2 linked regions of the Canis lupus familiaris genome follow. The protein of the gene in region 1 purifies or fractionates together with the protein of each later gene. This does not show direct contact. Links are inferred from orthologs where the notes say so. Each region holds a gene or a part of one and is shown on either strand. Other genes may lie near its edges.

Evidence for each region. The genes of interacting proteins can lie anywhere in the genome.
Region 2: the proteins of PSMD7 (region 1) and USP15 purify together in Homo sapiens (affinity purification with mass spectrometry; 3 studies listed by BioGRID, with this or other methods). This does not show direct contact. The link is inferred for Canis lupus familiaris from reciprocal best matches to the Homo sapiens genes PSMD7 and USP15.

The regions. Positions count from the first base shown.
Region 1 is NC_049226.1:80,364,443-80,368,649, reverse strand, and holds the start of PSMD7 (26S proteasome non-ATPase regulatory subunit 7), read right to left. Parts: upstream 2,858-4,207; 5' UTR 2,754-2,857; coding exon 2,680-2,753; intron 413-2,679; coding exon 321-412; intron 1-320.
Region 2 is NC_049231.1:5,872,915-5,877,252, reverse strand, and holds the start of USP15 (ubiquitin carboxyl-terminal hydrolase 15), read right to left. Parts: upstream 2,806-4,338; 5' UTR 2,748-2,805; coding exon 2,659-2,747; intron 1-2,658. UniProt on the Homo sapiens protein: Hydrolase that removes conjugated ubiquitin from target proteins and regulates various pathways such as the TGF-beta receptor signaling, NF-kappa-B and RNF41/NRDP1-PRKN pathways.

The DNA.
Region 1 (4,207 bases):
TAAACGACATCAGAGCTGACTGGTTTTATAAACTTTTGCTAGAATACAGTTACCCTTTTGTCAACACATTGTCTATAGTAGTTTTGCTGCTACAATACAGGGCTGAGCACTTGTAATGGAGACCATATGGCCTGCAAATTTAAAATATTTACTCTTCAGTTTAGTGAGTAACTTTTAGCTTCCTTCCTATACTTCAGCAATTCTGACAGAGAATTTCTGGGTTGTAGTAAAAATGGAAATCACAAAAGTCTCTTTTATTAATTTTAAAGATAATTGACATTTTAAGCCAGGTGTAGAACAATGTAAGATTTGTCTTGTACCTGCAAAACTGTTGGATACGTCGAGTACCTTCTTTTGCCATGACCCCAAAAGCACACCGACAACGCGCTTCTGGTTTCCAACCTTGCCTATTCTGAAGGAGAAAGCAGAAAGTCAGTCTGATAGGCACACAGAGACATGGAGCCAACAATTAGACACTCAATACGAAATATCAATGGTACAGATACAACTCCACTTACCTGGGAACTAATCCCACTAAACCAATGTAATAGTGTCAGGTCAGTCCTTAATATTAAATTCTAATAAATACAATGGGTAACTCACCAACTTTGTACATCGGCAGTATTTACACTGTTGACTCCAAGAAACACATGCTTGGAAAAATGTCAAACTTTCTAGAACCTTAAAATGGAGAAAATGGACACCCCCCACCCCCCCGCAGGGCTTAAGAGTTTTAAAATGCTATTTGGTTGGTGTTTGCAAAGTATATTTAAGTTATGCTGCCACTTTTAACTTTTTCTTTTGCACTTTTCTCCTTCAAACTTTCCCCATCTTCTGTATCCTTAAATATCATCAGAGATAAAGATGCTAAAGCAGACGACGTTCATGGGCTGGCTTGCCAGGTGTTCTCTGGGGTATCTATTCCACGCAGACAAGCCCCACCACAAGTCCTACTTCTCTGAACCATCTAGGGGCTCAGAAAGTGGGTTCTGACGCCGAGGTAGGCGTGTACCCTCTGTGGTCTCCGAATGGCTTCACCAGGCAGGATCAGAAGTGAGCTGGTGACTGATCACACTGACAGGATGGCTGGAGGAGTGAGAAAGGGTTTGCTTCGGAATTTCTACCTACTTGTCAAACCTCCTCAGTGACTTCTGTCCTCAGGAGCTGCCAAGTGTTTCACTTACACAATCTCATTTCATGGACCGTCATGTAGAATTCTCCCCTAAGCACTAGCGGACGTGAGACACAGAGCACACTAGAACCCTACGTTCAAACGAAAGACACAGGCCACCGTGAAACGAACCTGAGTTCCTTAACAGTCACTGGTTTCACTGTAATGTTTTCCTAAACATCTGGTCTGGGAAATCTATAAATGCTCACTGAATTTGGGATTTGGGTCAGAGTGAAGGATTCTGTATCCCTGGTGGTTCTGATTTTTGGGGAAATCTTATACACCGAATTTCCACACTTCAAAGGAAACTTCCACACTCACGTGCTTTTCTTTTGGTCTACAAAAATCTGACTGGGTTTAAACAACAACAACAACAACAACAACAACAAAAACAATCCCTACATCTGGGCAGCCAGGGTGGCCCAGCACTTTAGTGCTGCCTTCGGCCCAGGGCGTGATCCTGGAGTCCTGGGATCAAGTCCCACATCGGCCTCCCTGCATGGGATGGGGCCTGCTTCTCCCTCTGCCTGTGTCTCTGCCTCTTTCTCTCTCTCTCTCATGAGTAAATAAATAAAAAATCTTAAAAAAAAAAAAACAAAACAAACCCGACATGTGTTATTACGACACCGCAGCTAGCAGCGGGTGTCTGCACTCCGTCCCCTGGATAGAAGTGAGAGGGAGCCTGTCCCAGTGGCACGTCCAGTACCCTGTGGGAGGAAGGAGTGCCGGCGGGACAGTGGGAACGCACGCCTGTCCCGTAGGCTGAGGGCTCTACAAAGCTGGGGACCCCGAACCCCACGGAGTCCGGTTTTATTAGCTCTGGTTCAGTGAGTGGGTCGTCCAAGGCAAGCTGCAGGGGAACCGGCACTTCACGACCGACTTTACAGCAGACGCTCCCCAGCGGGTCTTTACACTTGCCAATCGGAGCAATTACCTTGTAAAAGTTATGAACACGTGTAACAGGTCCAGCGGGAAGAACGGCTCCAAGACAAGGGAAGGGAAGGCGCAAGAAACCCTCGCGGGACGTTCCAGCTTCTTCATTAATGCCCAAACCTACTAACGCTCTCATTTTTAAAAGAAGGGGCTTGGCACCCAGTGTCGATTTCAGGTCACCATCAAAGGCGAGCGAGTCCTGCTCAGACGCCACGGCCCTGCCAAGGGAGCCCGTTCTGGGCGCCGAGGCCGGAAGGCCGGGGACAGCCTCCAGCGGCACGGAGGCGCCCACGAGGTGACGGGGGCACCGGGGCCAAACGGAGGCGCCCCCCGCGGCCCCGCCCTCCGCGCCCCTACAGCGGCGGCGCACCGACGTGGGCAAACGGCACGGCCAGTCCGGGCTGCGGGCTGCGGACTGCCGGCCGGGGCCGGGGCCGGGGCCGGGACGAGCCTGGGATTTAGGCTTCGCGACCCGTGAGTGGTCCCGGCCGCGGGCGAGTCGCTGCCCACCCCGGCCCAGCCTGCCCGTGACTCAGCAGCGGCGATCCCGGGAGGCCGCCCGCGCCCGCGCTCACCGGTTGAAGTGATCCACCACACTGAGCAGCACCAGGGGGTGAACGACCACCTTCTGCACCGCCAGCTCCGGCATCGCGACGCACCCCGCCCGCCAGGCCTCAGCCCTCGCGACCCGCACACTCCGGCAGCCGCCGCGGCTCTCGCGGACGCTCCAGGCCCGGCCCCGCCCCTTCCGGCCCGGCCGCCGCCGCGGGGCCTCCCCACTTCCGCTCCCAGAGTGCCGCGCGCGCCGCCCCGGGTTTTCGCGCCTGCTGCCATCTTGAGGAGGCGGGAGGCCGGAGGAAGCCGGGCCCCGCCCCGGGCGAGTCGCCGCGAGCTGCCCGGGACTTGGAAGCTCGAGGGGCCGCGGAGACTGACAAAGGTCGACCTCCTGGTGTGGGCCCTGCACCGGCACCCGCAGCGGCTGCTCGTTTTCGGTCTTCCCAGTTTGCAGCCCCCACCCCACCCCCACCGCGTTTGAAGACCGGAGGAAAAAAATTCTAGAAAAAAAAGGAATTCACTCATATTTCCAACCACCCAGAAAATGGTCACCTTTGTTCCAAGCCAGGCTCCTGCAGAATTTCTTGACTTCCGGTCTTTAGCGTTAGGGAACGTCGTTGAAGCCGATCTGGTGATTTATCCCATCATTTTTTTTTTTTTTTTTTAATTGTTGGGGAATTAACCCTTAATAACCACTGCGGACACTTGGCAGATCATCAGCCTGCCTTTATATTGTCCCACCGGTTTATGTTACTTAACCATTTAACCAGGGCTAGAAGAATTCAATTAATTTGTGCCTGGAGTCAGACCGTTCAGGTTGATTTTTCTTTTCCCTTTTTACATTTTTTTTTATTTTTTATTTTAAGGTTTTATTTATTTGGCAGATAGAGCATGAACTGGGAGGAGAGGGAGAGGCCGGCTCCCTCCTGAGCAGAGAGGCAGATTTGGGTCTCCCTGGGATCCCCACCTGAGCTGAAGGAAGGAAGACACTTAACCTACTGAGCCACCCAGGCGCCCCCAGCTTGATTTTCAGATGAAAGTTTAGGTAAGGGTTGAAGTCAGGGTGAAAACCAATACGAAATAGGTTTTGGTATTTACCTAGCAAAGAGATAAAAGGAAGACGGAGAGAGGGGGTAATGCAGGAGGCAAATCATTTAACTCCATACACGTTTATATTTCTGATTTTAAGCAAGAACAATATTTAAGCAACTTGAACTATTTGCTTATTGTTTGCCCTGTCTTTTCTTTGTTTTTAAAGATTTTATTTATTTGAGAGAGAAAGCCTGAGCGGTGGGAGTGACAGGCAGAGGGAGAGAGAGGAGCAGACTGAGGGGGATGTGGGGCTGGATACCAGGAGGCTGAGGTCATGACCTCAGCTGGAGGTAGATGCTTTGCTGACTGAGCCACCCAGGCACCCCTATTTGCCCTGTTTTTGTTTTGTTTTGTTTTGTCTTAGGATTTTTAATTCATTTATTGGAGAGACACAGAGGGAGAAACAGAGACACAGGCAGAAGCAGAAGCAGGCTCCCTGCGGGGACCCTGATGCAG
Region 2 (4,338 bases), on another chromosome or scaffold:
CCAAATATCTTTTAAAAAGGCATTAAAAAGAGAAACAACTTTTTTTTAAGATTTTATTTATTTATTCATGAGAGATACACACAGAGAGAGGCAGAGACACAGGCAGAGGGAGAAGCAGGCTCCATGCAGGGAGCCCAACATGGGACTCGATCCCGGGACTCCAGGATCAGGCCCTGGATGGAAGGTGGTACTAAACCGCTGAGCCACCCGGGCTGCCCAACTTTTTAACAAGTTAAAAACAAGTTGTAGTGAGTTCCAAAAACTATGAGCCCAAGTAACAAATTATTAAATCTTTACCAGTTCTGAAATCATGCATATATAATGAAATTTGTACTTAGCCAATTATTCTCCTTAAAACTCTGAATCAAACTTTTGTTCTAAACTATTTTCTTTTTTGACAGATTTTACCTAATTGCAAATTAAGTGGCCTAAACCAAACTGGTTTTTGCAAATCCTCAGTACCATCCTGCTCCGGTATTTTTTCCCTTTAACTAAGAGGTATCATCAATTTGAGGACAAAAACGTTCACATTTTGGGGCACCCTGAGTGGCACAGTCGGTTAAGCATCTGACTCCTGGTTTCAGCTCAGGTCGTGATCTCAGGATCTCTCAGGGTCGTGAGATTGAGCCCCACATCAGGCTCATCAGGCTTCCCACTTAGCCGGGAGCCTGATTAAAAAAAAAAAAAAAAAAAAGACTTTCACCCTCTCCCACTGCCCCTCCCCAGCCCTTTCTCAAATAAATAAATAAATCTTAACAAAATTCCACATTCTGCTGTTATCTAAATATGTGGTCTTCAATGTCCCTTTCTTTAAAATGAACGCATTTAAAAGACTCAAATTTACGACTTCCTATATTTATTCTTTATGACTATTTCCAGGGCAGCCTGGGTAGCTCAACGGTTTAGCGCCTCCTTCAGCCCGGGGCGTGACTCCGGGGTCTTGGGATCGAGTCACACGTCGGGCTCCCTGCATGGAGCCTGCTTCTCCCTCTGCCTGTGTCTCTACTCAGAGTACCACCAACTACTACTCAGAGTACCAAAAACATAACATTAAAAAGAAGTAATATCCATCTGAATCATAGCCATTTTTAAGAGGATAGAGATCCCCATTTATGTTTTTTATGAGGTGGGAACAGGTTAACTAATGGGAAGCTAGGATTAATTTATCTTTTAATAATCCAAAGACCAAGGTAATTATGTGTCCTAGGAAATATCCAACTTCCACACAGGAATAAACATCTTACAAACACTGACATGCGCAGTAATGATCATTAAATCATCTAGAGATCGTATTTTCTGTTCTAGTGCAACAAGTGCATGTTTACACCGTTAGGGATTTTCACCATATAAACCCAGAATGTATGTAGCCCAACAAAGTAGGAAGAAAAGTACCAAGACTTAGATCAAAAAACACTTAAAAGTCAAGTCCCAAGACTGCCATCTGCTAACTTACTTCAAAATCCACTAATACTACAGCATTTTATCGGAAGTAAGTGGCGGGGACAACACAGCGACTAACACTTAACGTCCTCTCCTAAACAGATAATGTCTTGGAATACCTCCTCAAGATCGAGAGAGTACACCCCTATCACGGAATTTTCGTTGCCCACTTCACGGATGAAGACGGGGGGGGGGGGGGGCACAGCGATTCAAACTGCCTGTCCTCCAAGTCCTGCCCCAGGTGAGGCGGTGAAACGGGGACCTAACCAGGTCTCAGTCTTAGGTTCGTTCCCTCCACCAAGTCGTAGAGGGGCCCGTGCATCCTACACCGCCGCTACGGTGACAAGCAGACAAGAAAACAGCGGTCACTGTATATGAAGAAGCACATCCCTCCTCTTCTTCCTGACAAACACCACTTGCCCTTTAGGTCACGTATTCCCGTATTTAAGCAGTGCCGACCACCACCGGTATTAAATCCCTACGCGTGCTACCTCCGGCGTTTGCATCCTCTGCTATTTCCTAGGTCTCGAGGGTAGCAAGCGCGCTGAGCCTCCAGCGGACTTATCTACTTCGTGCAGGCCTGCGGCTCGCCCGCCCGGGAGGGAAGGGCTGCGCTTCCGAGAGGCGCGGCGGGTCCCGACCGAGCCCCCGCCGAAGCCCGGGACCACGTGGTTCCCCCTCTGCTCGGCCCGAGGTCCCGGACTCTGCCTCCTCCGGCCGGGGGGCTGGGGCTGGGGGCTCCGCGCCGCGGGAGGTGCCGGGGCCGGCCCACCTGTGCAGCCCGCCTCCCGGAAGAACGCCGGCGTCGGGCCAGCCAGCAACTCGCTCGCCGGCAGACGCCGCGGGAGGAAGCGAGCGGAGCAGCGGCGCGGGCCGCCGAGCTGTCAGCGCCCGACCGCGGGCCGCCGCGGGGAGCCGGCGTCCGGGCAGGCCCGAGGTGGGAGCGGCGCCGCGGGGGCCCGGCGGACCAGCGCCGCCGCCGCTCCCCCCAGGCCGCTGGGCGCGCCGTGACCGGCCGCGAGCCCCGGCCCCCCCTACCCGCCCCCGGCTCCGATCCTCGCCCCCGGCGTCCGGGGGCCGCCGACACCCCGCTCGCCCGGGGCGGCCGCCGCCGGACCTGCCCGCACCTGTCACTGGCGACAGACAGCGGCCCGCAGCCCCCGCCCGGGCCTCCGCCGCCCTCCCGCCGCCGCGGCCGCCGCGGCCGCCTTCCCTCACCAGGTGTCCCCTTTCCGGAGCGAGGTTTTGAGCAGCGTCGCGATGTCGGAGCGCTGGATGTCCAGATCCGCCGCTCCGCCTTCCGCCATCTTCTTCCACAGGCGGCAGCGACGGCGGCGGCACGCCCCGGAGCATTGTGGGAATGGCGTCGCGCGGCCCCGCCCAGCCGCAGGGCGAGACCAAAGCAGACGCTGGCGCGGGGGGGGGCCGCCTCGGGACAGCGGGCGGGCCCGGGGGCGGCCGGAGCGGGCGGCCGGGGTCTCCCCGCCCCCCGCCTCGCGGGCGCTGCCTGGGTTGCGCCCTCCCGGGGGGGCCGCTCCTCCAGCCCCGCGGTCCGCCGCTTCCCCGCCTTCCCCGCCCTGTTGCCCGCCGCCGCCTGCGCGCGCTCGTCTGCGCGTCCGCTCCGGCTGGAGGGCGCGGCGCGGCGGGGGGCGTGCGGACCCGGAGCTGCTGCCGGACGGCTCGGCGGCTCCGAGAAGCTGCTCGCGGAGCCCCAGCCGGAGATCGGCGCCCGAACAAAGACCCGCCCGAGCTGGAGCCCGAGCTGGAGCCCGAGCTGGAGCCCGAGCTGGAGCCCGAGCGCAGCGCTGGGCTCCGTGCATCCCCCCCTCCCCCCGCCCGCCCCGGGCTCCTTCCCGCCCTCCTCCTGCTGCTGCAGGTGGAGACCCTCCGGAGGCTGCCGGTGGCGCCTCCCAGGCACGCCCAGACGCCGGGCTGCAGTGCAAACCGCGCGCGGTGCCTCGCCGGCCGCGTGCAGCGTGTGTCGCGCCAGGTGCCAAGGGAAGGACACGTGCGAGACCTTTGTCCCCCTCGCCCCACACCAGCGCGTCCCGAACCACGTCTCCCCGCGGGCGTGTGCCCGCTCTTCTTTAGCAACCCCGGCTCCTAGGGTGGCCACGGTGCCACATGGGGAAGTCGAGGCTCAGCAAGCAAACGCTCAGGTCAGGCAGTGAGCGGAGGGGTGAGTGCATGACCTAGGTTCCAAGCCCCGCGCGCCCTCCGGCCGCCTCTCCTGTCGAAAACCCGCTCTGAAAAGAGGAGAGTCTGGGCTGCCCTGGGTTCATCTTTGTGGTTTTCTTTTCTTTTTGTAGACCTGCGTGCGGCTGGAGGCTAGCAGCGTGCTGCCTAAGGACCAGCTCCGGATTTGTTGCAAGTGAATCGTGGCAAAACTCCTGGGAGTATTTCCAAGCATGAGGAGGTCCAGAAATGTGACTGTAGGATGATGGAAGTGATGTGAAAAGTCTCAAAGACATTCAAGAATCCCTGCATGGCGGGGGGGATCCCTGGGTGGCCCAGAGGTGTAGCGCCTGCCTTTGACCCCGGGGCGCGATCCTGCGGTCGGTCGGCTCCCTGCATGGAGCCTGCTTCTCCCTCTGCCTGTGACTCTGCCTCATTCTCTCTCTCTCTCTCATTAATAAATAAATAAAATCTAAAAAAAAAAAAAAAGAATCCCTGAATGGGGGCAGGCCCAGGTGGCCCAGGGCATGACCCCGGGGTCCTGAGATCGAGTCCCATGTCCGGGTCCCAGCGTGGAGCCTGCTTCTCCCTCTGCCTGTGTCTCTACCTCTCTCTCTCTCTCTCTCTCTCTCTCTCTCTCTCTCTCTCTGTCTGTCATGAATAAATTAAAAAAAAAAAAAAAGAATCCCCGCATGACCTCTTATCTCCCCATTTTTAAGGTCT